7 linked regions of the Sus scrofa genome follow. The protein of the gene in region 7 interacts with the protein of the main gene of each other region in a pairwise test. Links are inferred from orthologs where the notes say so. Each region holds a gene or a part of one and is shown on either strand. Other genes may lie near its edges.

Region 1 (4,371 bases), on a different chromosome or scaffold from region 7:
GCCAGGGATCTGGACACCCCCCCCCCGCCCCACAGGCCCCCGTCCAGTGCAAGACAAGCTGCCATGTGGGCAGCAGCACACAGCGTGAGCGGAGGGCAGCAGGTGGGGGTGAAGGTCGCCAGCCATCTGCCAGAGGGGAACAATCGGCCACCCGACATGATGCTGGTGCAGTGGTGCTGGGCAGCGTGGGGACAGGGCAGGCCCCAGGACACTACATCTGGGAGCCAGGGTGGGAGCAGAAGCCCAGCTTTCCACCCTCCCAGAGACTCAGTGGGGGCTGGTGTGTGGTCACCCCGTGGCCCCCCGCTCACCAGCCAAGTGGCAACCCCCCCACTGCCTCCCAGGCATGTCAGGCAGCCCCATCCATGGCCAGGGGCGACCACACCTTGTTGCTGGCAGCAGGCAGGGCACCCACTGCACTCAGAAGTTGGGGAGCATATGAGAAACTCAGGGTCCACCAGAGACGGCAGGCTCGACGATCAGGGCTCAGCCCCTCGTGATGAGGCCACCGGGCCAAAAGAAGTGGACAGAAGGGGGTCACAACCAGCCACCAAGCCAGCTTCTCCTTGGCAGAAGCCACCCCCAAGGCGGAGGAGCGAAAGGAGTGTGCACCTGCCACGGGCTGTGGCTTCACTGCCTGATGGCGGGCACTGCACCCAGTGCGTGGCCCGTGTTACCTCCTGCAGGACCCACTCTGATGCACCTTACCCTGTCACAGCTGCCCAGGGTGGCCCACTGTGGGGACCTGCCAAGGGAATGGAGTCCTGGCCAGCGTGGCCTGACGTGGGGCAGCTGCCCGAGACGCCCCTGCCGTGCCCAGTCCCGAGTCCCCAGCGCCCCCTGGTGCTGATCCCCAGGATATCCTGCACCCCAATCCCCAAGGTAGCCTCTGCTCCGGAGACTCCAGCCTGTGACGGAACTTCAGGACCAGTTTTGCTCCCATGTGGGTCGAGGACTTGAACAAACAGCCCCTGGCTTGACTCTGCCTTTGTCCCACTTAAATGGCCTCAGAGGACCTGTCAGTGACGTTCTGACCACGAGACAGAAACCGCCCACTTGGATGGAAGGCAGGCTAGGGAGGACACCTTTGGGGGACGAGGAAAAAGTGACTGGGCACCTGCTGCGAGCGTCAAACCAGAAATCAGGTCCTGAGCACCCGGCCACCAGCCAGTGTTGGGATGGGCGCGTCTGCGCCCCAGCACTGGGCTGCGCCACACCCTGGGTGGGCGTCCCCTGGGCGGGGCTGAGGGAAGAGGCCCATTCTGTCCTCTCTGCTGGACCCACTGACTTGGCCTTGGGCTGTGTGGGGAGGAGAGCCCCATGTGGAGGTCGGAGGAAGGACTCAGACCTCCATCAAAAGCGGAGGTGGCTGCTGTGGGCCTTGGAGGACACGTCCCCTGCGGGAGCACAGGTCCTGAGCCGGAACACATGGCAACTCAGGCCCCGGCGCTGAGGCCGAGCACCACACTGGCGCTGTGTCTTCCCCACGTCTGCCCCTCGGCCATCCTCTGTTTCGTCCTGTGGTGAGTAGCCATAACATCGCTAAGCCTGGAACCCAGCATGTCCCTGTTCTTGGGACAGCGCCCTGGGCACTGGGACAGCACAGGGCGGCTCAGGAGCCAAGCTGCTGACCGCAAGGAGAGAAGGTGAGCCCAGGAAAGGCAGGGAGAGACCAAGGTGGCCCGGGAGGGACGGTGCGAGAGGCAGGCCGGGAGCCTGTGTGGCCACCCCCCTCTTACCTTGTCCCACAAAGACTGCAGCTCTTCCTGCCCCCCTAGGTCCCAGAACATGAGGCGAGCCTTGCCCACGTCCACTGTGCCGACTGGGCGAGAAGAAAACAGGAGAGGCTGTGGCCTTGGTCCCTGACACCCCACCTCCCAGCCCTCCTGGGGAGGGGCTCTCTGGTGCTCTGCCTGCCTGCAGGCCTGTGGCCATCACAGCACCCTCAGGGGTCTGCCCGCCAAGCCCGCAGCCCTCAAGAAACCCCCTTACTGTTTAGACCCACGGTGGTGGTGATTTTGGACAGACTCATCCCCTTGTAGTTCTTGTTGAAGCGGGTTTTTGACTGCTCCAAGAAGGTCTGCGGGGAGAGGGAGAGAGAGGCAGGAGAGAGGAGCTGGAATGGTTTTCCGGCCTGTTTCTCAAGTTTCCCTCCTTGGGCCTATTCCTTTAAGACAAAGCAAAACAGCACACCGTTTTGCTATCAAGGCAGCCGGTGCCAGCCGTCCCCCGGTCTTAGAGGGGGCTGGGATCTTTGGACAACACGCAGCTAAATGCGTGATACCAAAAGTACCACGTTCGGGGCGGGGGGCGCGGGGCGCTGACGGCACGTACCGTTTTCCCGGCATTGTCCAGACCCAGGATCAGGATGCAGTACTCGTCCTTTTGAAACATGTACTTATACAGGCCGGACAGCAGCGTGTACATCCTGCGCGGAGACCAGCGATCGGTCACCGGCGATCCGACCCGCACCCCGCCTCCCCGAGCGGCAGAAGGGTCTGTCGGCCTGCTGTCCGCTCAGACCTGGAGCCCCGGGCCCTGCCGACCCGCCTCCTCTCTGCCCGGCACTGCCGCCGGCGCCTCCGCAGCTGCTCCCGACCCGGCCGGCGCTGCCGGCACCCTCGCTCCCACGTCCGGCCTCCCTCCGGGCTTCGCTCCGCCCAGGTCTCCTCGACGGCCCTGGGCCAAGACGGCCGCAGGCGCCCCTCAGAGGAGGGCGCGTGGGGGCGGGCGGCGGCCCCGAGTGGCCGTGCGGCTCCGCCCGCCCGCCCCGGCCTACCTGCGCCCGCCCGCCCGCTCGCCCGGGCCGCGAAGCCGGGGAGACGCCGGAGTGGGGGAGCCGCCAGGGCACCGGAGCTGCGGCGCCTGACCCTCCGACCCCGCGCCGACCCCGCGGTGACCCCGCGCGACGCCCGACGGGACGCGGGCCGGCCACTCGGGGAGGGGCGGAACCGTCCCGGCGGCCCCCGCGCCAAGCACTTCCGGCGGTGGCGGCGCGAGGGCGGAAGTGCCTGTCGGCTGCGAGGGCGGAAGCGGGGCGCGGGGCCGCTGGGGCCGCCGAGGCCGCCGGGCCGTCTGTGGCGGCGGCCGGGAGACCGTGCGGAGGAGGGCCCGGCCGGAGCGAGAGGGTCTGGGGCGTGGCGAGGTGACGGGCTGAGCCGGGGCGGGGGTGCGCGGGGCGTGGGCCGGGGCACCCGGCTGAGGCGCGGAGACCTCGGAAGAGCCTACGGCAGCGCCCCGGGGCGCCTGAGAAGGGAGCTGCGGCTGTGGGGCCAAGGCCGAGAGCCGGCTCTGGCTCGCCGGATCGGAGCTGGAAACCTCTCTTGGCCCAGACGGGAGGGGGGCAGCTCACGGTTCCGCGGGCTGTCCGCCCAGGGCCAGCCTCGCAGCGGTGGCCCGTCCCAGGCTCATTTGGCTTCTCTTCCCCGCAGCTGTGGCCCCCACGCCTCCCCTGGGAGGACCCAGAACACCCACCCCAACCCCGCGGCCTGGCCGAACAACCAGCCCCTCCTGGCAGGATGGACGAGGAGAGCCTGCAGGCCGCCCTCCGGACTTATGACGCGCAGTTGCGGCAGGTGGAACTGGCCCTGGGCGCCGGCCTGGATCCCTCGGAGCTGGCGGACCTGCGCCAGCTGCAGGGGGACCTGAAGGAGCTGATCGAGCTCACAGAGGCCAGCCTGGTGTCCGTCAGGAAGAGCAAGCTGCTGGCCACGCTGGACGGAGAGCACCCAGCCCCGGAAGATGCGGAGTACGTGGCTTTCCAGAAGGCCATCGCCGAGGTGGTGGAGGTGCCAGCAGCGCCCCGGGCCGAATTGGAGACTGTTCCTAAGGACGAGGCAGGGCCAGACCCCTCGGAGCCTGGAGAGGAGGAAGAGGGGGAGGACGAGGAAGACGCGGCCGAGCTGAGTGGGAGGAAGGTGAACGCCCCCTACTACAGCCCGTGGGGCACCCTGGAGTATCACAACGCCATGATCGTGGGCACAGAGCAGGCGGAGGACGGCGCCCCGGGCGTGAGAGTGCTCTATCTGTATCCCACTCACAAGTCCCTGAAGCCCTGCCCCTTCTTCCTGGAGGGGAAGTGCCGTTTCCAGGAGAACTGCAGGTAAAGCCTTGCCTCCCCCTGCGGCCTCTGGGGTTGCGGCCTCTGGGGTGGGGGGCTTGCGCTCAGGGTTGGGGTTGGCCCGCTGTGTTTTGGAGTTTTGTCCTTCGTCGCCCAGCAGGGTGCTGAGAAGAAGAGCTCTTTGGGGGCCAGGGGGTTCTTGCAGCAGATGCTCTCCTCCAGCTGTTTGCTCGGATTTTCGGGGTACATCAGGAGGTGCGGATGATGAAAAGAATGGGGCCCCCCCCCCCCCCCCCCCCGGCACTAGTTTT
Region 2 (4,421 bases), on a different chromosome or scaffold from region 7:
GTGCAGGGCCGGGGATCGAACCTGCATCCCAGCACTCCAGGAACACCACCGATTCCGATGCGTCACAGTGGGAACTCCGGAACATTTCTATTTTTTTTTTTTTTTTTTTTTTTTAATAATATTTATTTATTTATTTATTTATTTTTGCCTTTGTCTTTTTGTCTTTTGTCGTTGTTGTTGTTGTTGCTATTTCTTGGGCCGCGCCCGAGGCATATGGAGGTTCCCAGGCTAGGGGTTGAATCGGAACTGTAGCCACCGGCCTACGCCAGAGGCACAGCAACGCGGGATCCGAGCCGCGTCTGCAACCTACACCACAGCTCACGGCAACGCCGGATCATTAACCCACTGAGCAAGGGCAGGGACCGAACCCGCAACCTCATGGTTCCTAGTCGGATTCGTTAACCACTGCGCCACGACGGGAACTCCCGGAACATTTCTATTTTTAATGTCCTTTTTTTTTTAGTCTGCTGAGGAATATCTTTATGTACTGAATACATTATTATTAAATAATCTATGGAATCTCTCAGTATAATTGTATTTGTATATAGTTTATACACAAATAGCCACCTGGGGATGGAGCTTGAACATAGGGGTGCTCACTGAAAAATGATTTTTGGAGTCATTTGTCCTAATGCAATTTAGCCCCTCAGAGGGTATTTGGCAGCATCTGGAGACACTTTCAGTTGTCTCAACTGGGGCAAGTGTGCCACTGGCATCTGGTGGGTAGAGGCCAGGGATGCAGCTCAAAACCCTACAATGCACAGGGCAGGTCCCCACCACAAAGAACCATCCAGCCCCAAGTAGAGCTGAGGTTGAGAAGCCCTAGATTAAAGCGCTAGATTCTCTTGATTCTGGGGTCTTTGCAGGACTAGCTCCCTCCTTCCCTACTCCATTCTTCGCTTAGCTGAGACCTCATACTTCAAGGATTCCTCAGAGAAGCCATTTCTGAAGCCTTCAGGCTGGGCCAGAGCCCTTCCTAAGAGCTCCTCTAGCCCCCTCTTCGCCCCCTGCTAGGTTAGAAAAGTTCGGACCCCTGGGGTTCTCAACCTTCCCATTTACAGTGTAAATTCCCTGTAATCCCCTAGACAGCCTAACTCTGGACAACTGCTAGAGACCCCGGGAATTTGTGTTCTTAACAAGCATCTCTTCCTTCCCCCCAGCTGCTTGCCCCTCCTTATCTTACACATAGTAGGTGACCCAGTGACCAGTTAAGTGTCTACAACCTGCCAGGCGCTACTAACTGCTCTACGCAGGGAATCGAATCCTGGCAAACACACACCGCCCCCGCCACCGCCCCGCCGCCAAAATACACCCAGACTGTAGCCACTACCATCATCCCATCTTACAGAGGAGTAAATTGAGGTTCAGAAAGGGGACGTGGCCAGGTAAGAGACTCAGAGCAAGAAAGGGGTCCAGGTGCTGAATACTGCCTGATTCCCGGGGAGGGGAGGGGATGGAACAATGAAATGGGGGGGCGCGAGCTAACGGGGGCGCGGAAACTCGCCGCGGCCTTCCGATGCGGCCCCACCCCCACGAGGGACGTGAAGACGCGGACCCCGCGCAGCGTGGGGACATGTGACCGACTGCAGAGGCCGCGCTGCCTCCCCCGCCCGAGGTCTGCGCGCTCCGCCGCAGGGTGCAGATCGGTGGCGCCCGCCTGGGTTTGGGGCGCAAGAGCAGAGGCGGAGCCAAGGCGGAGCCAGCGCGCCCCGTCCCCCCTTTCCCTATCGAAAGCGAAACGGAGGGCCGGAAAGGAAGGGCGGAGCCCGCCTGGAGGCCCCGCCCCCTGCCCTGCGCGGCGGCAGGACCGACGGGCGCGCCCAGGTAGGGGGTCGCTGAGCGCGCAGTGCGGACCCTCGCTGGGACCTGCGCCGCCACCATGTCTCAGGAAGGTGTGGAGGTAGGAGATGGCTGCCAGTGGGCCGGGGGCCTGCGAGAGATGCTGGGGAGGAGTTCGGGGCGCGAAAGGGGCTTCGCAGTTCCTGGGGACTCCATCTGAAACCCAGACCAATCCTTAGGCTGGCACTCGTTCCCCTCAGAAAGGAGAGTGGCCACCACATGCCCTAGAGCGAAATGCGGCCTCCTCGAGGAAAAGCGGAGGCTGCTGGGTCAAGGGTCAGAGGCCAGGGGTTACCTGGCGGGCCTCCTCTCTTAGCCTAGGACGCTCACCCTGGTCCGCTCCCTCCCCCAGTGCCTTGTAGGGACTTTGGCTTTTTCCAGGAAATGCAGTAGAGGGATTGGGGGGGGGGGGGTGCTGTGCAGAAGCCAAAACCAAGGGTCAAGTTCAGGCCAAGAAAAAGGATGCCTAGGGATGGGGGAAGGGCCATCGCTCCTCTCCTTCCTCCTTCGGAGCCCCCTGTCCCCACCCCAGCTGGAGAAGAGCGTCCGGCGCCTCCGGGAGAAGTTTCATGGGAAGGTATCCCCCAAGAAGGCGGGGACTCTGATGAGGAAATTTGGCAGCGACCACACCGGAGTGGGGCGCTCCATCGTGTACGGTGAGCAGGCCGGATCGAGGGCCTGGTGGGGGTTCTGCAGAGGAGCACTGGAGGGGGGTGTGGTCTGTGTTGGGGGTAGAAAGAAGCGATGAGATCATCTCTTTGGGGAGCGGTCTGTATCAGGGGTTCTGGGGACACTGAAACTCCCACAAGATCTTTCAAGGGCCCTTCACTTACACTTACTCTCCCCACCAGGGGTAAAGCAGAAAGATGGACAGGAACTGAGTAATGACCTGGATGCCCAGGTAAACTGTCCCTCTCCCTCAAAGGATGTGCTAAGGGGAGGGAGAACAGAAGGGTAAGCTCATTCACGCTGAGCCCCCGCTGTGCACTGTCAGTCCACAACTCATGGTACAGCCTCATTCACTTATTCACCTCTCAGTCTTGTATCTGGCTGGCGGGCCTGCAAACAGTAGGTGCTCATTACATGCTGACTGTATTCAGTGGGGGTGAGACAAGAAACTAGCCAGTGAAATGAATCGGGATTAATGTCATTTACAGAGGAGCCACAGAGGTCAGGGAAGGCTTCCTGGAGGAGTTGGAAGGAAGTTGTTCAAGATCAGGGAGGAGTCATCCCTGGGAAGGGGAGGAGTCAGAAAGGGTCTTCCTGGAAGAGGGAGGCTGTGCGAGCAAAGGAACATGCGGACAGGCTGGGATGAGCAGGAGGTGGGGGAGGAGAGAGGGGCAGGGGATCCCAAAGGAATGAATGAATGAATGAATGAAAGGCTTTGAGGCATAGACACAACAGGGCCACTTTGCCCCTTAGATGGCTTTGGTGTCTGGTGCACTGGTTTCACCTGTCTAAAAGGCCCAGCATAGAGTTCTTAAAAAGTGTAATAAAGGATGAATTACACTCTTAACATTCATATATTTACATTTATACATATGATGAGTATGATAAAATAGCAAAGAGTGTCATTGATAAAGCACTTCCCCTGTGGCAGGACTCCAGGACTTTTACCTGTTGACTGATTTCATTGCCACAGGTCCTATGAGACAGGTCCTATTAAGATACTAGCATGTCCATTTTACAGATGAGAAAACTGAGACACAGGGTGATGAAGCCACTTGCCAGGTTCATGCAGAAGGCAGGTGACAGCTGGGATTTGAACCTCCGCCACCTAGAGTCAGAACCTGGGCTCTTAGATGTCCCTCAGTAGTGGGAATGGCTTGGCTACACCCCCACAGCTGGAGGTAATGAGGCCAGGATTTCAACCCCCATCTCCCTAAATCCAGAGCCCAAGCACTTAGCCTAAAGCAGCATGGCCTCAAAGAGGTGACCTGTCACCATGCCAACAAATGTGTGGCATTTGTGAGTAGGACAGGAGCATGGGGTCCAGGCCTGCCCCACCAGGTTCACTCAGGGTAAATTCAGCAAGCCCTCTCCCAGCTCTGGGCCTCAGTTTCCCCATCTGAACAATGGGGGTAATAAATATGCCTACCTCTCAGGGTTGCTCTAAGGACAACTGAAGTCACACATCCTGCCCTGAGGAAATAGATACTTCTCAGTCAATCAACTCCTCCTGAGTTAGGAACACCCTGCTTTTTTTTTTTTTTTTTTTTTTTTTTGCCACTTCACGGCATGTGGAGTTCCCAGGCAAGGGATCAGACCTAAGCCTCAGTTGCAACCTAAGCCGCAGCTGTAGTAATGGAGTATCCTTAAATCGCTGTGCTGGGCCAGGGATCAAACCTGCATCCCAGCACTCCCAGGACACCATTGATCTGGCTGTTCCACAGCAAGAACTCCTAGGGACACCCTACTCTTAATATGGGGCCAGAACCCCCGCTCCCCAGAAGCCCCACCCACAGAAAAGATGCATGAGCCACATCCCCAGTTTCTGCCCTGGTGTCTCCACTTAGGACCCCCCAGAGGATATGAAGCAGGACCGTGACATCCAGGTGAGTCCAGGATGTGGGACGGGAAGG
Region 3 (3,716 bases), on a different chromosome or scaffold from region 7:
AATATTGAGTAAGCCAATAAAATATGACATTGAAGATCTTGATCTTGGATGACATTAGTTAATCAGTGTTTTTATGTTTTATGTTTCAAAAGTTAAAATGCCTCAGGGCATGTAAATATCATTTCTTGATTCTTTGTTGGAAATGATCTCGAGGTCTTCCCTCTTTAAGTGAGAGTGATGAATTTATCAGTCAGAAAACTGTAGGTTTTCAGTTATACCACTAGAGGGTTCACTTCCAAAACTAATTGTGATTTGGCCATAGATATTAGGATCCAGGAATTTAGTAAGTACAAGAGGTCTTAAAGGTAACCCACTGTGCTGATTTTATAGCTGACACTTACCTTCATTTTACTCCATTTGTTTAAATGTAAAATAAGAATAGCTCTTGCTGAAACTCAGAGCTGGAATGGTATTATCTTATTCATAATTTTTCACACACAAGATACTGTCCCAAGGGTTTTGATGCAAACACTGCTTTATTTGCTTTATGAAATAAGTCACTCATTTGGAGCACATGGCTGGCTAATTAGCCCTGTTTCTCTCATCATTCCTTATAAAAATCATGAGATTTATATTCTTTGTTTTGTGGTAGTTGAATAATATAAAGGGCCCAGGTGGAGAATCCTTGTGTGCTTAGTCACTGTAGTAGTTTGCTTTTAGCATAAGGAGGGTATTTTTGTTTTCTTGGTGATGCTTCATTGTATAGGTTCCGCATTGTGTTAAAGCAAAGCATCATTGACGGGTATTTATAAGCATTTTTCCTTCATTGCATATTACATAATAATGTTTTCCTTGTACATGAGGCCCTCCATCTGTAGGACAGAATGTTATGAATATAGTTGGTGGTAGAGAACAAAGATTGTTTACTAAATCATATAGGGATTTTTTAAAAGCCTTAAAACTGAGTAAAGTGACCATGGTAGGATTTGGAAAAAATACTGACTAGCAAAGCCTGCTTATCGTTATGCTGTACACGACGCGGGCTAAGCAGCAGAAGCTATAGTAACTTGAGTATGGTGTTCATTGAATTCTAATGTGAAATAATAATCCTGATAATAATAACCACATTTCAGGAGTGTTCTTTGTTGTTCCCAAAACTAGATGGGAAAATATTATTCATCCCCTTTATGAGAACCATACTTTTCATTATCTGATGTGGATCCTTTCTTTTATATACATATAGGCATGAGAAACTTGGTAAAAAAATATGAACCACCCAGATCTGAAGAAGTTGCTGTTCTGAAACAGAAGTTGGAGAGATGTCACTCTCCTGAGCTTGCACTTAACGTAATTACGTAAGTAGATGGGACACTGTTATCCTAGAACAGATATAACTATTATTGTGTTTAGCTTAAAATGTCATTTAATTGGTGAATGCTCATATGGGTAAAACTGACTTACCTATTAAATCAGATTTTTTTTCAACAGGATTAAACACGAGATAATAAAAGAATTTGGCTTTTTATAGTCAATTCTGCTCCTGCTGTGATTAACGTGTTCTTTGGCTTGTGGGATCCCATGAGGCAGAGTCTTCCTAGGGAATTCATGAACCTCTTCTTGTCCTTTTAATCTCTAGGTTTTTTGTAGGTCTGGTTATCTCCTCTGGAGAACAAGTACACTGTTCCAGATTTATTTCTATTAGCTAGGGTATGGAAATTTGGCATATTTTCTCTCAGTGGTAAACTTTATATTGAAGACAGAATCAATAGGAAAATGTGCTGTTAGATTTCTTGTTGCATCCATAAGGAACACTGTAATACGTCTTATTGACTTGTTGCTGAATGTGGAATTCACTATATTTGAGCTCTTTATCACCTGCAGCTTGAAGATCTGCTTACACCTTTCAGGTGTTTAAACAGTTGGGGATCTGGGTAGGTAATAAGAATGGTAAAATTATTATTTTATATTTTCTGTGGAACACATTCTGTAAAACTTAGTGGGAGGTAGGTCTGTCATCTTACAGTTGAGATGCATTTGAGATGTTTCTGATTCCATAATTGATGACTATATTGTTATTGGATAATATATGAGACATCAGACCAGAATTCTAAGGCCTTCAGATCAGGTACTTGTAACTCAAATTCTTCTAACTATAAAGCTATAGTAGGAGAATATCCCAGGACTTATGATGTGTGTAAAATATGGGACTATTTTATATTTGTAGCTGTAACTGCAAAACATGGCTTAGAATAGAACCTAAAATTGGTAAATTTCACTCCTGGGTTTCAGTGTTACAGCAAAAGTAAAGAAAAATGTTGACTTTAATGAATGAAAGTATTGCAGTACTGATTTATAATCTTTTCACATTGATTTTGAAATGGGCTTATTAGACCAGGTGTTGGCACACTGTGGCCCAAGGGCCAAATCTGGGCCACAACCTGTTTTTAGAAATAGTTTTATTGGAACATAGATCCATCTAGCATACTGTGTATTGCTGTTTTCAGACTATAGCAGAAGAATTGTGTAGTTGTGACAGAAACTACATGCCCGTACAAGAATTAAAATACTCACTATATGGCCTTTTGAAGAAAAATTTGTCCACCTCTGAATTAGACCACTCAACTATTGATCTTACTCTTCTAGCTAGGTGACTGAATGGACCATAATCCAAAGTTCCTAATTGGCCAGAGTTTACATCTTTCTTTCAAGTGTACTGTGTTAAGCAAACCCTGCATATCTATGAGTACTTAAAGGGCGATTCTCAAACTGTAAAGGACTGTTAATTTTCTTTTTAACCCATTACAGACCTACACTTACATAAAATATTAACAAATAATTACTCGAAAAAAGAAAATGACAAAAAAATAAGCTTAAATTTTATTAGATTCAATAAGCTTAATTTTATTAGATTCAGTAGTCATAAATAAATCTATCAAATTCCTATAAAAATTTCTAAACACACACTCAATTTCTATACTTATCTCATTGCACGCTGGAAATGGTCCATAAATCACACTTACAAGCACTACTTTAGGATAAAATATTTTTTCTTGGTCTTTAAAATTCTTTTATCTTTTTTAATACACAAGTAATATAGTGTCATTATTAAAGCCAATTTAATACAGGTAAACCAGAGTTCTCTTTAACCAAAACCCAAATCCCAGTTTCATCCCGAGAGGTAACTTATAGTTGTTATCTTTGCCAAGCTTTTCACTATTATGTATTTAGAAAAGGGTTTTTTCCCTTTTCATTGTTTTCATACACATTGTACAACATTTAATAGTATCAGTATTTAACTTCTGCCAGTCTGGGTGAAGAAATAATCATCACATCGGTATTTTAATTTGCATTTCTCTTATTATTCTGATACTGATATTTCCATGTCAAATAATCCTGTTTCTTCTGTATTGCATAATTATAACCTCTGCCCAACTTTCTTGTCTTGTTTTCTTATGGTTCTTTTTATATACTCCTCTTTTTATATTTATCATAGACCTACTTTCTTTTGTTGCTTCTTTTACTTTGTGACATAGGCAGCTTGTCTTTTGCTTTATGCTCGTACACCTGAACACCTTGTCTTACTCTGTATTTTGCCTTTTGTTTAGCTGTTAAAACTATTTAGAATTGTATGTGATTGGTTTGAGGTAGAAATCTCACTAATTTTTGTTCAAAGTAAACTTGTATCAGCCATTTAAAAATATTTCATGATTTTCTCTAGTTATTTAAAATAGTCATTTATTACAGATTAAACTCCTATATATACTTTGTACTGATCA
Region 4 (2,562 bases), on a different chromosome or scaffold from region 7:
GAATCTGACTAGTATCCATGAGGACACAGGTTTGATCCCTGGCCTTGCTCAGTGGGTTAAGGATCCAGCATTGCCGTGAGCTGTGGTGTAGGTCACAGACTCGGCTCGGATCCCCCGTGGCTGTGGCTGTGGCTGTGGCTGGCAGCTACAGCTCTGATTCAGCCCCTAGCCTGGGAATCTCCAAATACTGTGGGTGTGGCCCCTCAAAGGACAAAAAAAGACTCATGTAATGGACTCATATACCACGTCTGGTTAGAAGCAGCAGTTAATAACCTTTGATCACATTTCCTCTCTGTCTGTATATACATACACACATTGATAGATACATTTTCGGGGGGAAGATTGAAAGGAAGTTGTAAACATGACCTTTCAGCAGCATCTCCCACAACTAGGCTATTTCCCTATATTATAACCTCAGTGCCATTGTCACCCTTTAAGAAAGTGAACATGCATTGCACACAATCTGGTATCCGGTCCCTGTTCTGATTTCCCCTAAGGGACTCTGGGAAGGTTCGGGGATGGGGAAGGTACTTAGGGTTCACAGATTCATGGGATCCTAGAGCATGGGCCACCCTCCCTCTGTACGGAAGAGCCCAAGGCCACAAGCGTCTGTGGCTCCTCTGAGTCACAGAGCTGGGGACCCAGTGTTCCTGCCCATCCCTCCAGGCTTGTTTTCTTGGTGCCTTGCGGCCTCTAGGCTGGCCCACACCCGTTCCCCCTGTGGCCTGGCTTTCCCATAGTGGTCTCCCTGCGCCAGATGCAGCGCAAAGCCACCCGGGAGAAGGAGCGGAACCAGGAGCTCCGGCGCCTGCAGGAGGAGGCCCGAAAGGAGGAGGGGCAGCGGCTGACCCAGCGCCTGAAGGAGCTGGAGAGGGACAAGAACCTCATGTTGGTAGGAGGCAGCTAGACGGGGCCCCTGCCTGGGCTGGCTGGGGAGCAGAGCTGTTGGGGGGGCGGTGCTCTGCCCCGGCTCGGTGGCATTTAATCCTCTCCTTCCCAGGCCACCTTGCAGCAGGAGGGTCTCCTCTCCCGTTACAAGCAGCAACGACTGTTGGCAGTTCTTCCTTCCCTGTTGGATAAGGGGAAACCTGTGGAGTCTGGCCCAGGGAACCCTGAGTCTTCAGCGCCTGCGCCTCTGGCAGTGGCCCGCTGCACCAAGGAGTCCATCAGAGGTAAGGGATGGGGCGGGGACTTCAGGACCCTCTCCTCCAGGCACTCTGGTGTGCATGAACCTTGTTCTCTTGACCCCTGGAGGCCCACAGCCTCTTAGCCACGCCCGCCTTGAACCAGGAGCCTTCTCCTTCATCACCCTTACATCCCGAGGCTGCCCTGTTCCTCTGCATCTTGACCTAACAGCCTCCTGTCCCTCTGGGTCTACTTTTTTTTTTTTTTCCTTTTTTAGGCCCGCACCTGCAGCATATGGAGGTTCCCAGGCTAGGGGTTGAATTGGAGCTACAGCTGCCAGCCTACACCACGGCCACGGCCACACCTGATCTGAGCCACAACTGCAGCCTAAACCCCAGCTCACAGCAACACGGGATCCTTAACCCACTGAGCAGGGCCAGGGATCAAACCTGCACCCTTCTGAATACTAGTCAGATGTGTGTCCGCTGCGCCACACTGGGAACTCCAGGGTTTTCTTTCTTAGGATCCCTCTCCGACCTGCTGGATGACCTGCAGGGCCTGAGTGAGGCCATTTCCAAAGAGGAGGCTCTTTGTGAAGGAGAGAACCAGACCTCTTCTACTTCAGTCTGCCTCTGAGCAGCTGCGATGACCAAGGATGAGGATGGTGGAGAAGTGGGCCCCAGAGTGGGGGGGTCCCGCCCAGCCCCTTCCCCATCTGGCCACCGTCAGGACAACAGGCACCAAGATGTCTGTGATTTCTCCCGTGACTCACTAAAGATGATGCCTACAGCAGGAGCCTTTGTTTGGACAGTTCTCTTTAGGAATAAAGGGAATTTTCTCTCTGCAGCCTCTCTTGTCTAGGCAATGTGAGAAGTGGTCCCTCCCACAGGCTCTTTCACGACATGGCTCCTTTTCCAAAATCCCTTTCCCGGGCTGCTCAAAGTTTGTTTTGAGAAGCTCCAGATTTTTTTTTTTTAATTCCCAACTTGTGTTTTAAAGCGCTTTAAAGAGCTTGGAATTGTCTGGAAGATGGTCAGTGCCGGGAGTGAGGCAGATATAAACCTTCACTGGTTCAGCTGGTGTCGCACAGCCAGGTGGCATCCTGCCAGGAAGCCACCGTGTTGACGGACCTGTTTCTGCTCCTGTGGTGCTTACACTCCCATGGAAGAGACAGACTCAACCAAGTTTCCACAAGAACAAATCAACATTTCAAACAATAAGTGCTATGAAGAGAAGAAAAAGATCACAGTGACGAGATAAGAGCCTGGCTCTGTGGGGAGGGGCAGCATCAGATGAAGGGACAGGCGAGGCCTCTCAGGCCCGATGTGCTGAGGCCGGGGTCAGGCGAGGACCAGGCTGTGCCTCCACTTGGGAGAAGCACAAGCGCGGCCCGTGTGGAGGGAGGATGCTGCAGGGAGAGGCCAGGACCTAGTGGAG
Region 5 (4,186 bases), on a different chromosome or scaffold from region 7:
GCTAAGTTTTCTTGTTCAATTTCCAAATGCTGAGTGAGGGTCCCGACGTCTCTGTGGCTGCTGCCTCGCCCAGAGCACACGACGTCTGCCTGAGCTCTAAGCCACGGGAACTGGGTCGTTGAGGGCCCGGTACCAGCCTGCCTGCTGGGCATGTAGGAGGCGGTGGCTCAGTCTCCTGCACCAAGTCCCCACCTGGCTTTCGCGGCTCCCGCAGGGGGCTCCCCATGCCCAGAGGGTGATGTCAGCTCCCCGGAAGGCCAGGCCACCACGCAACCCAGCAGTGCCAGGTCTGTGCCGGGACGCCCAAGGTTTCTGCGAAGTGGCCCGCTGACCATCCTGGGCAGAAGGCAGAGAAGCCCCCACACGGCCTGAGGCGTGAGACCCCACAGGAAGGGAGCTGGCCAGGCGGGAGGGAAGCTCCTCAGGAAGGGGGAGCCGGGAGCACCGGCCAGGCTCCCATCCAGCCCGTCCAGCCGCAGCCCCTTCGCGGAGCTGAAGCTGGCAGCTCGGTTCAACTGGCAAAGCTCCCCGGGCAGCGCGGTGGCCTGGGGATTCCCCAACCTGGCCAGGGTGCAGCTGGCAGCCAGGGCTGGGCTCCAGGCTTTGCCCGGCCTTCTGCAGCCCTTCTGAAGTGCTGGGGTGGGGGGCTGCTGTCACTGTCATGTGTCCTGGTGGAGAAGGGGTGGTCCCAGGAGGGGCGGGGCCGTGCCAGCCACAGCAGGCCAGTGTGCTGCGGGGCGCCTGTGCCCGGGGCCCTGTTTTGGGACACCACACCGCCCCCTCCTGGGACCAAAGTGGGCCAGCAGGGGCTCGAGCTCTGTCAAGCCTTGGCTCGCACTCCCCACTCCTCAGGGTCAGGGCTGGGCCTCCAGGGCGGGCCCTGGGCCCCGCGGCCAGCCCTGCGCTGGCTGGCAGGGCTCTGGGCAGCCTTCCTGGGGAGCCACTTCCACTTCCCTCCCCCGCCCCCCAGGCCGCCCTGCTCGGGCGAATCAGCAGCGGCCGCAGGGATGGTCCCTGCGGGGTTAACGCCAGGAAGTGCGCTCCCTCCCGCCCCACCCTCCCTGGCCGGCAGCCGCGGCAGCTCCCACCGCTCACACACCGGCTTGGCGGCCCAGGCTGGCCGGCGACCGGCCACTGCACAGGTGCCTCAGGAGGACCCCAAGGTAGGCTGGTCTGGTGCCCTTTCGGAAAGGCGGCGGCAAGCCCAGGTGGCTCAGGACTCTTGGGACAGGGAGAGGGATCTGGCGTGAACACCCCAGAAGGGCACCAAACGGCCTCACCTCTGCTGCCCCGTCCCCCTCGCAGCCACCTGGCACGGTCGCTTCGGTGGAATGCACAGCAGGTCATCGTCAGGCGTGGGTGCTGTGGACTTGAGGCTAGAAAGGCCGCAACAGGCCAGGTCCAGAGACCGGCCACCAAGGTGCTGGTGATTCCTCTGGACGCCGCGCCTGTCGCTAGGCGGGCGGGCCGAGGGCGGTGGGACCCACAGCCACGGCCTCTGGGATACCACGGCCTCTGGGACCGTGCCCCAGCCCCCGTGGCCCGGGAGCCGGTGTTTCCCAGGCAGGTTACAGGCTCAGTCCCAGGTGTTGAGGCGGGGTCTCTGTGCCCCCCGACCCCTCTCCCCCAGGAGGAGGCATGGCCACATGGCTGCTCCTGCTCAGCCCGCCCCAGAGCGTGGTCCCTGCCCACCCGCTGCTGGAAGGGCTAGCAGAGAGCAGCTTCCACGTAGATGGTCCCCTGTCAGGGAGCCAGCATCCCCGTGCTCAGCACTGTGGCCGAGGAGATGGGGAGAGCCCGGGGCCAGCTAGTGCCCAGCACCCAGAGCCTGGAGGAGGCGCGCAGCCGCGTCCTGGGCTGCCTGGGCGACACAGCTGGGCCCTCCCCATGTGCCCAGGGCCCTCCGGTGGGCTGCTCTCAGTCACGCTTCCTGGAGGGCACCACGTCCCTGGGCCTGACCGGAGCGGGCCAGCTGGGCAACTGTTGCATCACCAGCCACAGGAAGCAGAGGAAGGGATGGGAGTGGATGTGCGGGGGAATGAGGAAGTCCCGCGTGGCATGGCCTGCCGCCCGCAGGTGGGGGGCGCCCCAGCCGGGCGCGGGCTGGCCGGGGGTGGACCGGGACCCCTCCCTCATCTGCCGGGGAGGTTGTGCCAGCGCTCGGCCCAAACAGCTCCTGCTGCCCCCTCACCTCCAGGGAGGGAGGCAGCCTCCCTGCCCGCCCACAATGCTCGGGGAGGGGGATTCTCCCTGGGCACAGGCTGGGGGGGTAGCGTGGGGCAGGGGCCCAGGGTGACGGGGGCGGGGGAGAGGAAGCCCAGAGCGGCCAGAGGGCGGGGGCAGGGCAGGGCAGGGCGGCGGGCCAGTTGACGGGCCCTCTCTCGGAGCAGTGCGCCCGCCCGCACCATGTCCGACTACGAGAACGAGGACGAGTGCTGGAGCGGCCTGGAGGGCTTCCGCGTGAAGCTCATCTCCGTCATCGACCCCGCCCGCATCACGCCCTACCTGCGCCAGTGCAAGGTCCTGAGCCCCGACGACGAGGAGCAGGTGCTCAGTGACCCCAGCCTGGTCATCCGCAAGCGGAAAGTGGGTCAGTGCCGTGGGCGGCGGGCTCTGCCCACGCTCGTCCCTGTCCCCGGGAGGCCTGGCCGGCTCGGCCCCCGCCCCGCCCCCCCCATCACCAACCTGTCTGCCTGCGGCCGGGGCGCCGCCATGCACAGCAGAGGCCCCTGGGAGAGCCACACGAGGTGGGTGGCCGATGGGGACTGGCCCAGACCCACTCTGCGGCCACCCCGCGGGGCCTCGAGGGGCCACACGCGTGCCTGGGGACGCCGGCCGCCCCGGCCCCCAGCCAGGCCCATCTGGGTTGCAGGCGTGCTCCTGGACATCCTGCAACGCACCGGCCACAAGGGCTACGTGGCCTTCCTCGAGAGCCTGGAGCTCTACTACCCGCAGCTCTACAAGAAGGTCACGGGCAAGGAGCCCACCCGCGTCTTCTCCGTCATCATTGGTGAGGAAGGGCACCGGGCCTGGGGACCCAGGGCCCGGACTCAGGGGCCGGGGCGCCCCCCTGACCTGGGCCCCTAACGGATAAAGCGTGCATGCGCTCTGGCGGAAGGATACCGCCCGCCTGGGGCCCGCCCGCCCGCTCTCCTGCTGCAGCCCGGGGAGGGGGCAGGGGCCGGAGGGAAGGGGGACCTGAACTCCAGGGCGGGAGCAGGGGGAGGGGAGGCACAGGCTGATTCTTGGCTCAGAGCCCCCCTGCCCAGAAGACCACCTGACCCCACTAAAACCCTGCTCCCGAGAGGCCGCGGCAGCCGGAGAGGTGCCGCTCTCCTGGTCCTGAGTCGTGTCCCCTCGCCTCTCAATCAAGATGACCAAAGTGGACAAAGAGGGAGGGACACGTGAGCCCCTGGCTGCACCGTCCTGGGAGGGGCTGGGGACGGGGCCTGCAGGTGAGTCAGGACCAGACCCCTGGGCCGGGCTCCCCGGGCCGCCGGTCCTGGAGCCGCGCGAGATGCTGGGCTGCTGGGCGCGCCGTCTGATGAGGCCCGGTCCGCAGACGCGTCTGGGGAGTCCGGCCTGACGCAGCTGCTGATGAGCGAGGTGATGAAGCTGCAGAAGAAGGCGCAGGACCTGACGGCGCTGCTGGGCTCCAAGGACGACCTCATCAAGGAGCTGCGCGTGAAGGACGGCCTGCTGCGCAAGCACCAGGAGCGCGCGCAGAGGCTCAAGGAGGCCTGCGAGGCCGGCGGCCGCGAGCTCCAGCGCTGCAAGGACGAGAACTACGACCTGGCCCTGCGCCTGGCCCGTCAGAGCGAGGAGAGGGGCACCGCGCTCATGCGCAACCGAGACCTGCAGCTGGAGGTGCCTGGCGGCGGGGCGGCCGGGCGGGCGGCGGGCGGGCGGCGGGCCCCCGGGCTGGGCTGACGGGCGGCCCCGCAGATCGATCGGCTCAAGCACAGCCTCATGAAGGCCGAGGACGACTGCTCGGTGGAGCGCAAGCACACGCTGAAGCTCCGGCACGCCATGGAGCAGCGGCCCAGCCAGGAGCTGCTGTGGGAGCTGCAGCAGGAGAAGGCGCTGCTGCAGGCCCGGGTGCAGGGCCTGGAGGCCTCCGTGCAGGTGGGGCCAGCGGGGCGAGCACAGCGCAGCCGGGCGGGGGGCCTCCAGCCCCGCCGCCCCG
Region 6 (3,716 bases), on a different chromosome or scaffold from region 7:
TGCTGGGCTAGGGATCAAACCTGCATTGCAGTGCTCCAGAGACAACAGTGATCCCATTGTGCTTACAGTGGGAACTCCTTGTGTTTATTTTTAAAAGAAAAAAAAAATTTTGAGTTCCCTTGAGGCACAGCAGGCTGAGGATCTGGCATTGTCACTGTAGTGCCTTGGGTTGCTGCTCTGGCATGGGTTTGATCACAGGCCTGGGAACATTCACATGCTACAGGCATGGCCAGAAGAAAATTTTGTTTTTTTAATTGAAGTATATTTGATTTACAGTGTTGTGTTAATTGGTTTATCATAGGACACTGAATATGGTTCTCTGTGCTGTACAGGACCTTGTTTATCCTCTCCACGTATAATAGCTGCATTTGCTAACCCCAGCCTCTCACTCCACCCCCTTGGCAACCACAAGTCTTTTCCATGAATTTGTTTCTTTTCTGTAGATAGGTTCATTTGTGCCACATGTTAGATTCCAGATATAAGTGAAATCATATGGTATTTGTCTCTTTCTGACCTGCTTCATTTGATACAATTAGTATGAGAGTCTCTAGTTCTATCCACGTTGCTGCAAATGGCGTTATTTTGTTCTTTTTTATCACTGAGTGGTATTCCATTGTGCATATGTACCACATCTTCTTAATCCATTCCCCTGTTGCAGGACATTTAGGTTGTTTCTATGTCTTGACTATTGTGACTAGTACTGCAATGAACATAGGAGTGCGTGTATAATTTTCCTTGAAATCTTTGTCTGGATATATGCCCAGGAGTGGGATTGCTAGATCATCTGGTAGTTCTATATTTAGTTTTCTGCTGTACCTCCATACTGTTTTCCATTGTGGTGGGACCAGTTTACATTCCCACCAACAGTGTAGGAGGGTTCCCTTTTCTCCACACCCTCTCCAGCATTTGTGATGCCATTCTGACAAGTGTGCAGTTGTACCACATTGTAGTTTTGATTTGCATTTATTGAATAATTATTGATGAGCTTTTTTTTTTTTTTTTTTTTTTTTGCTGTTGAGTTGTATGAGTTGTGTGTATTTTGGAAATTAAGCGTTGCATCATTTGAAACCATTTCCTACCATTCTGTAGTTTGTCTTTTTGCTTTTTTTATGGTTTCCTTTGGTGTGCAAAAGCTTGTCAGCTTGATTAGGTCCCATTGGTTTATTTTTGTTTTTATTTCTGTTATCTTTGGAGACTGACTTAGGAAAACATTTGTACCATTGATGTCAGAGAATGTTTTGCCATGTTCTCTTCTAGGAGTTTGATGGTGTCTTATGTTTAAGTCTTTAAGCTATTTTGAGTTTATTTTTGTGTATGGTATGAGGATGTGTTCTAGTTTCATTGATTTACTGTCCATTTTTCCCAGCACCACTTCCTGAAGAGACTGTCTTTTTCCCATTTTATAGTCTTGCCTCCTTTGTCAAAGGTTAATTGACCACATGTCCAGGTTTATTTCTGGGTTCTGTATTCTGTTCCATTGATCTGTATGTCTGTTTTTGTACCAGTACCATACTGTGTTGATTACTGTAGCTTTGTAGTATTGTCTGAAGTCTGGGAAAGTTATGCCTCCTGCTTGGTTTTTGTTCTTCAGGATTTCTTTGGCAATTCTGGGTCTTTTATGGTTCCATATACATTTTTGGATTGTTTGTTCTAGTTCTGTGAAAAATGTCATGGATAATTTGATAGGGATTGCATTGAACCTGTAGATTGCTTTGGGTAATGTGGCCATTTTAATGATATTAATTCTTCCAATCCAGGAGCATGAAATATCTTTCCATTTCTTTGAATTTCTGTAGTTAATTTCTTTTTTTTTTTTTTATGCTTTTTAGGGCCACACTTGTGGCCTATGGAAGTTTCCAGGCTAGGGGTCAAATCACAGCAACATCAGATCCGCATCTGTTGACCCACACCACAGCTCATGGCAAGACCAGATCCTTAACCCACTTAGTGAGGCCAGGGATCAAACCTGCAACCTCATTGTTCCTAGTTGGATTTGTTTCCCCTGTGCCAAAATGGAAACTCCTCCATGATTAATGTTTTATAGTTCTTAGCATATAAGTCTTCCACCTCCTTAGTCAGGTTTATTCCTAGGTATTTAATTTTTTTTGAGTGCCATTTAAAAATGTTGTATTTTTATATTCCTTTTCTAATACTTAATCCTTAGTATACAGAAGTGCAACTGATTTTTGAACGTTAATCTTGTATCCTTGAATTTTTGCTGAATTTGTTGATCAGTTTGAGTAATTTTTGTGTGGCATCCTTAAGGTTTTCTATATATACTATCATGTCATCTGCATAGAGTGACAATTTTACCTCTTTTTTTTTTGGATACTTTTTATTTCTTTTGTCTGTCTGATTGCTGTGGCTAGGCCTTCCAATACTATGTTAAATAAAATTGGTGAGCGTGGACATCCTTGTCTTGTTCCAGATTTTAGTGGAAAGGCTTTCAGCTTTTCGCCATTGAGTATCATTCTGGCTGTGGGTTTGTCATGGATGGCTTTTACTGTGTTGAGATGTGTTCCCTCTATACTTGATTTGGTAAGAGTTGAATGGATGATCCAACTTGAATGGATGTTGAATTTTGTCAAATGCTTTTTCTGCACCTATTGAGATGATCATGTGGTTATTGTCTTTTTTGTTGTCGATGTGGTGTATCACATTGATTTGTGCACGGCGAACCATCCTTGTAAACTTGGGGTGAATCCCATTTGGTTATAATGTGTGATTTTTTTTTTGATGTCTTGTTGGATTTGGCTTGCTGATATTTTCTTGAGAATTTCCGTATCTATATTCATGAAAGATATTGACCTGTAATTTTCTCTTTTTTCTGGTTTTGGTGTAAATGCTTTTTAAAGTAAGTTAATTTTAAAAACGTAAAAGGAAGAGCTCCTGTTGTGATTCACTGGTAGTGAACATGACTAGTATCCATAAGGACGAGGGTTCGATCCCTGGCCCACTTAGTGGGTTAAGGATCTGGCACTGCCATGAGCTGTGGTGTAGGTCGAAGATGTGGCTCAGATCCGGCGTTGCTGTGGTTGTTGAGTAGGCCTACAGATACAGCTCCAGTTGAACCCTCTCGCCTGGGAACTTCCATATCCCACAGGTACAGCCCTCAAAAACAAAAAATAAAAAATAAAATGGATCCCACAAGGTCAACTCTAAGGAACTCTCTGGCCAGCAAGGTTTCTACATGGGATGGTTTCAGGAGAGTTCTTAATGACCCTATGGGCTGTGGGGCCTTGTGTTTTTACCTGCAGGGCTCGTGACTACTCGGCACCAGTCAACTTCATCAGTGCTGGGCTCAAGAAAGGGGCAGCAGAGGAGGCGGAGCTGGAAGATTCTGATGATGAAGAGAAACCTGTTAAGCAGGATGAATTTCCTAAGGATTTTGGACCAAAGAAGTTAAAAACGGTAGCCTCCTTATTGACGTGTTGTGACTTTAGTAATATCCCTGGAGCATCTTTGTGGTGCAAGCATCTGCTCACAATTGGCGGGGGCGGGGGGCGGCGGCATTGTGTGGGTCTCCCTGTGGTAGTGCATCTCCCTGAGGGGTGATGTGTGCAGTGCAGTCTCTTCTATTCCCTAAGATGCATCAGAGGTAGGTTTGATTGGTGAGATATTTTTCATAATGCTCTGTGACTGCCAGGTCATGCTCCCATCAGCTAAGCTTGCTTTATTACGTTTTCCTTCTTTTTCTATTAACTAAACTTTGATTT
Region 7 (4,344 bases):
TGGGTGTTTTATCCAGTATATAGAGGATTCTATTCCATTATATTTCTATTGGAACATTATTCAATGACATCATTGATTAAGGTTTACAAAGCAAGGAATAAAATCTATCAGGAATCAAGCCTCCAGATTTCTTCTCCACTGAGAACACAGAAAAAGAAATTTGCCTAGTGTGAAATATAAATAATGAAATAAATGGAAATGTATAACTAGGGTAAAATTGAATTGCCAGTTGCAGAATAAAAAGATAAGAACTATTTTTTTTATTGCAACACTTCAGCCTTCTGTACTGAAATGTATATTCCCAAAAACTCTTCACATAAAAGTCTGGGTTTTAAGTAATGACAGGTAAAACTCTTTTAAAGAAAATCCAACATATTAAAATATAATCTTATAGAACGGAGATGATGATAGGAGATTGTTTTACAAAGGTGTCATTCACCATGGACATAGATTTATCATAATTTTAAACATCTAGTTTCACTAGTACATTTAGATTATGATTTGATTGCTAAATACATTATTTAGACATGACTTTTGCTGGAATATATCTATAATATAAAGCAAGTACTAGCCAGAAGACATAGTGCTAGGGCCTGAAAATTTCAAAACAGTAAGTCATTTTGTGCAAAACTGTCTTCATCAATGTATCTTAATTTTTCTGGCCTAAATTGGTAAAGAAGGAAAATATAATTTAGAAAACCATTAATATCTGAGATGCATATTTATAATTCAAAGCATAGACACGGTCCCACATTTTCCTTGCTTCCATTTAATTATTCCATTCAATCAGTCCTTTGTAAAAATCTCCTATACTTCATTTTTCACTGACTTTTTTGCTCACCAGACTGTTTCCACATGTGCCACGTGAGTATATTTGTACCAATAAAATGAAATATCACACCCTTAGGTCACTTCATGAGAGCTCTTTTTTCAATGTGCTCCCAGGATGTTTTTGGTTGGGATCATCAAACAACCTAAACCCTGAAGCTTTATTGTTTACTAAACAGAATGCCCAGGGGAAGAAAGCCCCAAGTGGGCTTGGGAGCTTAGGGACGTTACATGGACCCAGGTAGCTGATCTGGCATTTCAGCCCAGGCCATGGGACTCAAGGGCACTAGTGCACTGTACCTCTTCACAACAATGTCAGACTGTCACTATTCTGTTTTCCTGGGAAACTCTGAGTTTCTGTTGTGAGCAGGGTCTTAAATCATTCAATAAATATGCATTAAACTGTTGAGGAAATTTTCAAATAACAGCAGGGAAACTAAGACTGTGTGAAATAAATGCGTGTTTTGGTGCAGAATTATATCAGAACTATTCAAGTGAATGCTGGATCTTTGTGCTCCGTGGTTTTTAAATTTATTTCAGTATAACTAAAAAAACAGTTTGGGTCATTTATAGTCCCCATACTTCCTGGGAGGGACTTTTGTTGTCTACTCAATGCTCAGAGTTTAAATTTGCAAGCTTAGAAGAGCAGACTGAGTCTAATTGCTGGGTGAGAAGGGTTTAGAGGCCACTGTAGTCAGCAAGGTAAGTTTCTGTGTGTGTGTGTCTTAAATGTGTGTTCATTGCATTTCTTAAAGGAGGTATGCTTTTATCTTGGAAATACAGGGTTTGAGAACTACCTTGGTTGGGTACGTGATCACGTTTCTATGATAGCACCTTATTAACTGTTGGAGTGATTTCCACACAATCAAGTTTTACATGACATATTTTAAAATTAATGAATCTTGGGACAAATGGAGAGTTGGAAACCAAAGCGCTAGAGTCTGGTAAAAATCATGCGTCTCAAAAAAAACAAACCAAGACAAACAAAAACAAAACAACAACAACAAAACCTTTCCCAAAAGGTAGGGCAAAACACGCAGCAGACCAGACAAAAATCTAAAGCACTAAGAGTGGAACACCTAGAAAATGATCAGGCATTTTGTCTGCTGTTCTGTGTGTTTGTGTACGGTGTTGCGGCATGGCAGGTCAGGTAGGGCAGGGTGGCAGGGCAGGTAATGATGAGGAATGGTTTCCTTTTCTGAGAATCTTTACTTGGGTCGAGGTGGTCTGCTTTTTCTGCAAACTCAGCCAGCACTTTATAAATGGCACAGAACTGTTATTTCAAGCTGAACTACTACTGACCCAAATCCAAAGGGACTGGCTAGAAATGAATTGTCTTTGGACATGCAGCAAGATGCAGAGATTCACTCAGCTAGCTAGAAGAGCCAAGCCCAGCTAAATGTAAGACCTCCTTTCAGACCAGGAAAGAGCTAGCGATCTGGCCTCTGCCTACGGGCAGGCTTGCAGAGTGAAAATGGCCCCTAGGCCCTATCCAGGTCCCTCTCCTCCGCAGAGTGATCCCTGACCACTCCAGCCCACAGCAACGTCTCTGAAGTTTTGCTGTCCTTGGAATCGGTCCTGTACTATTTTGCCGTTAATTATGAACAGGGTTAAATTGATCTTGTGGATAAAATGAGGCCATAGGTATGAAAGTTCCCAGTACAGGGAGTTCCGTTGTGGTGCAGTGGTTAACGAATCCGACTAGGAACCATGAGGTTCCGGGTTCGATCCCTGGTCTTGCTCAGCGGGTTAAGGATCCGGCGTTGCCGTGAGCTGTGATGTAGGTCACAGACGCGGCTTGGATCCCACGTTGCTGTGGCTCTGGTGTAGGCTGGTGGCTACAGCTCCAACTGGACCCCTAGCCTGGGAACCTCCATATGCCCGGGAGCGGCTCGAGAAAAGGCAAAAAGACAAAAAAATAAATAAATAAAAAATAAAAAATTCCCAGTACAGATTCCAGCAAGATTTTGTTTATCCTCCCTGCCACCCCTGGAGAGACAGTCCTGGCCACATCAGAGAGTTAATGAAAGTGAGGCCATTAAGTAGCAGCGATTCAGTCCATCTTATCTGCTACAGCATATAGGCCCTAATAAAAAAGGTTGTTGGATTATTAACTTATTACATATATTAACATCAGAGCTTAAAATAAAAATATTTTAAAAAATATAAACTTGTAAAAATTAATGTATTACAGAAGTTAATAGAATATTAAGCTATCTTACCATTAACAGTTTGGTTAGCAACCCTGTAGTGCAGGCACAGAGGGGCTGGGACTACAGAGGCAAACATGACCAGCAAAGTCCCTACCTTCATGGGGCTTACATTCTGGTGGGAGGAGACAGACGAGCAGCAAGCAAACGATTAAACCAATAAAACCAGACCTGGAAAGGCTGCTTTACCTATAGACATGGGATCTGAATGATGAAAAAGAATCAGAGCCTTCCAGGCAGACTGAATAGCACGTTCAAAGAACCAAAGGAGAAAAAAGGGAGCTGCCATGGCTGGCACTTGTGTACAAAAGTGAGAGTTTTAAGAGGGCTATAGGCGCCAGGTCATGCATGCATGAGTGGATAGGAAGTTCAGTTTCATGCTAAACACAATGAGAGGCATGAAAGATTCTTAATTGGGAGAGGGGGCTGAGAGGGTCTGAGTTTCATTTTTGAAAGACTGATCTAATAGAGGCAAGAATGGAAGTCTGCAGAAAGTTTGGAAGGGATTCATTCACACATACACAGAAGCATATAGAGTTTTAAAATACACGTGTGCTTTTCCTGCGACTTGTTACTGGTGCATATTTTTAGAATTCTTCTTTGAAATTATGTTCACAGTCAGTTTACTGTCTTAGACATCAAACACATCTTGTTTTTTGACCTTTCCCTATCCACTCAAATGCAGTAACTTAGTTGGAAAACACAGGTTTGGCATTTTAACACAACTCCAGAATGTGTTCATCAGATTTGGCTCTGAATAACTTCTTCTCAAGGAAAGCATTCTTTTCAAAAAGTCAGTGTCTACCGATGTGATACTTTTGAGCAGCATTATGGGAACATGTATATAGGCTGCCAAGGTGATTTATTTGAAATATAAAACATCCATTAGAAGTCACATTCATTTATTTACCAAGAATTATCTGCCACTAATCACTAAGCACCAAGCACTCTTTTAGACACTGGAGATATATATATCAGTGAACAATCAGAAAAATGCTCTCTCCCTCTCTCCCTGCTTGGCTGACACTCTAGGCAAGGGAAATAGGCCAAAAAAGAAAATTAACAAAGTAAGTAAGTAAGTATTATGGTTGAAGATTATTATAAGAGCAAAGTAAGAAAGATTTAGAAAGCTGGAGGGGTGTTTTTCCAATTTTAAATAATATTTGTGAGGTTGGTCCTCACAAAGAAGGTGACTTTGGTTAGATGTGGAAGGGGAGAGATAAGTAATACAGATGTTAAGGGAAAGAACATTCAAGCAGAGGGAATAGTGCAAAGGTCCTGAGGCAGGAAAGTGACTGGGAAGAAT

Evidence for each region.
Region 1: the proteins of SSX2IP (region 7) and ZGPAT interact in binary tests that used the Homo sapiens proteins (3 or more experiments, as listed by UniProt). The two-hybrid records come from large-scale screens. The link is inferred for Sus scrofa from reciprocal best matches to the Homo sapiens genes SSX2IP and ZGPAT.
Region 2: the proteins of SSX2IP (region 7) and C2H19orf66 interact in binary tests that used the Homo sapiens proteins (3 or more experiments, as listed by UniProt). The two-hybrid records come from large-scale screens. The link is inferred for Sus scrofa from reciprocal best matches to the Homo sapiens genes SSX2IP and SHFL.
Region 3: the proteins of SSX2IP (region 7) and CCNH interact in binary tests that used the Homo sapiens proteins (3 or more experiments, as listed by UniProt). The link is inferred for Sus scrofa from reciprocal best matches to the Homo sapiens genes SSX2IP and CCNH.
Region 4: the proteins of SSX2IP (region 7) and CCHCR1 interact in binary tests that used the Homo sapiens proteins (3 or more experiments, as listed by UniProt). The link is inferred for Sus scrofa from reciprocal best matches to the Homo sapiens genes SSX2IP and CCHCR1.
Region 5: the proteins of SSX2IP (region 7) and CARD9 interact in binary tests that used the Homo sapiens proteins (3 or more experiments, as listed by UniProt). The two-hybrid records come from large-scale screens. The link is inferred for Sus scrofa from reciprocal best matches to the Homo sapiens genes SSX2IP and CARD9.
Region 6: the proteins of SSX2IP (region 7) and TFIP11 interact in binary tests that used the Homo sapiens proteins (3 or more experiments, as listed by UniProt). The two-hybrid records come from large-scale screens. The link is inferred for Sus scrofa from reciprocal best matches to the Homo sapiens genes SSX2IP and TFIP11.

The regions. Positions count from the first base shown.
Region 1 is NC_010459.5:62,639,561-62,643,931, forward strand, and holds the start of ZGPAT (zinc finger CCCH-type with G patch domain-containing protein), read left to right. Parts: upstream 1-1,427; 5' UTR 1,428-1,523; intron 1,524-1,739; coding exon of another isoform or gene 1,740-1,822; intron 1,823-1,992; coding exon of another isoform or gene 1,993-2,080; exon of another isoform or gene 2,081-2,167; intron 2,168-2,334; coding exon of another isoform or gene 2,335-2,427; exon of another isoform or gene 2,428-2,466; intron 2,467-2,523; exon of another isoform or gene 2,524-2,745; intron 2,746-2,779; exon of another isoform or gene 2,780-2,925; intron 2,926-3,006; exon of another isoform or gene 3,007-3,145; intron 3,146-3,431; 5' UTR 3,432-3,518; coding exon 3,519-4,102; intron 4,103-4,371. Other genes in the region: ARFRP1 (ADP-ribosylation factor-related protein 1), read right to left, coding at 1,740-1,822, 1,993-2,080, 2,335-2,427. UniProt on the Homo sapiens protein: Transcription repressor that specifically binds the 5'-GGAG[GA]A[GA]A-3' consensus sequence. Represses transcription by recruiting the chromatin multiprotein complex NuRD to target promoters.
Region 2 is NC_010444.4:68,940,674-68,945,094, forward strand, and holds the start of C2H19orf66 (UPF0515 protein C19orf66 homolog), read left to right. Parts: upstream 1-1,572; 5' UTR 1,573-1,879; coding exon 1,880-1,900; intron 1,901-2,371; coding exon 2,372-2,495; intron 2,496-2,690; coding exon 2,691-2,740; intron 2,741-4,355; coding exon 4,356-4,394; intron 4,395-4,421.
Region 3 is NC_010444.4:94,994,344-94,998,059, reverse strand, and holds part of CCNH (cyclin-H), read left to right. Parts: intron 1-1,183; coding exon 1,184-1,295; exon of another isoform or gene 1,296-3,716. UniProt on the Homo sapiens protein: Regulates CDK7, the catalytic subunit of the CDK-activating kinase (CAK) enzymatic complex. CAK activates the cyclin-associated kinases CDK1, CDK2, CDK4 and CDK6 by threonine phosphorylation.
Region 4 is NC_010449.5:23,543,328-23,545,889, reverse strand, and holds the end of CCHCR1 (coiled-coil alpha-helical rod protein 1), read left to right. Parts: intron 1-740; coding exon 741-892; intron 893-1,000; coding exon 1,001-1,172; intron 1,173-1,648; coding exon 1,649-1,761; 3' UTR 1,762-1,971; downstream 1,972-2,562. UniProt on the Homo sapiens protein: May be a regulator of keratinocyte proliferation or differentiation.
Region 5 is NW_018084833.1:1,342,251-1,346,436, forward strand, and holds the start of CARD9 (caspase recruitment domain-containing protein 9), read left to right. Parts: upstream 1-1,182; 5' UTR 1,183-1,732; coding exon 1,733-2,076; intron 2,077-2,390; coding exon 2,391-2,590; intron 2,591-2,872; coding exon 2,873-3,010; intron 3,011-3,562; coding exon 3,563-3,867; intron 3,868-3,945; coding exon 3,946-4,125; intron 4,126-4,186. UniProt on the Homo sapiens protein: Adapter protein that plays a key role in innate immune response against fungi by forming signaling complexes downstream of C-type lectin receptors.
Region 6 is NC_010456.5:44,106,091-44,109,806, reverse strand, and holds part of TFIP11 (tuftelin-interacting protein 11), read left to right. Parts: intron 1-3,257; coding exon 3,258-3,411; intron 3,412-3,716. UniProt on the Homo sapiens protein: Involved in pre-mRNA splicing, specifically in spliceosome disassembly during late-stage splicing events. Intron turnover seems to proceed through reactions in two lariat-intron associated complexes termed Intron Large (IL) and Intron Small (IS).
Region 7 is NC_010448.4:129,047,677-129,052,020, forward strand, and holds the start of SSX2IP (afadin- and alpha-actinin-binding protein), read left to right. Parts: upstream 1-1,509; 5' UTR 1,510-1,530; intron 1,531-4,344. UniProt on the Homo sapiens protein: Belongs to an adhesion system, which plays a role in the organization of homotypic, interneuronal and heterotypic cell-cell adherens junctions (AJs).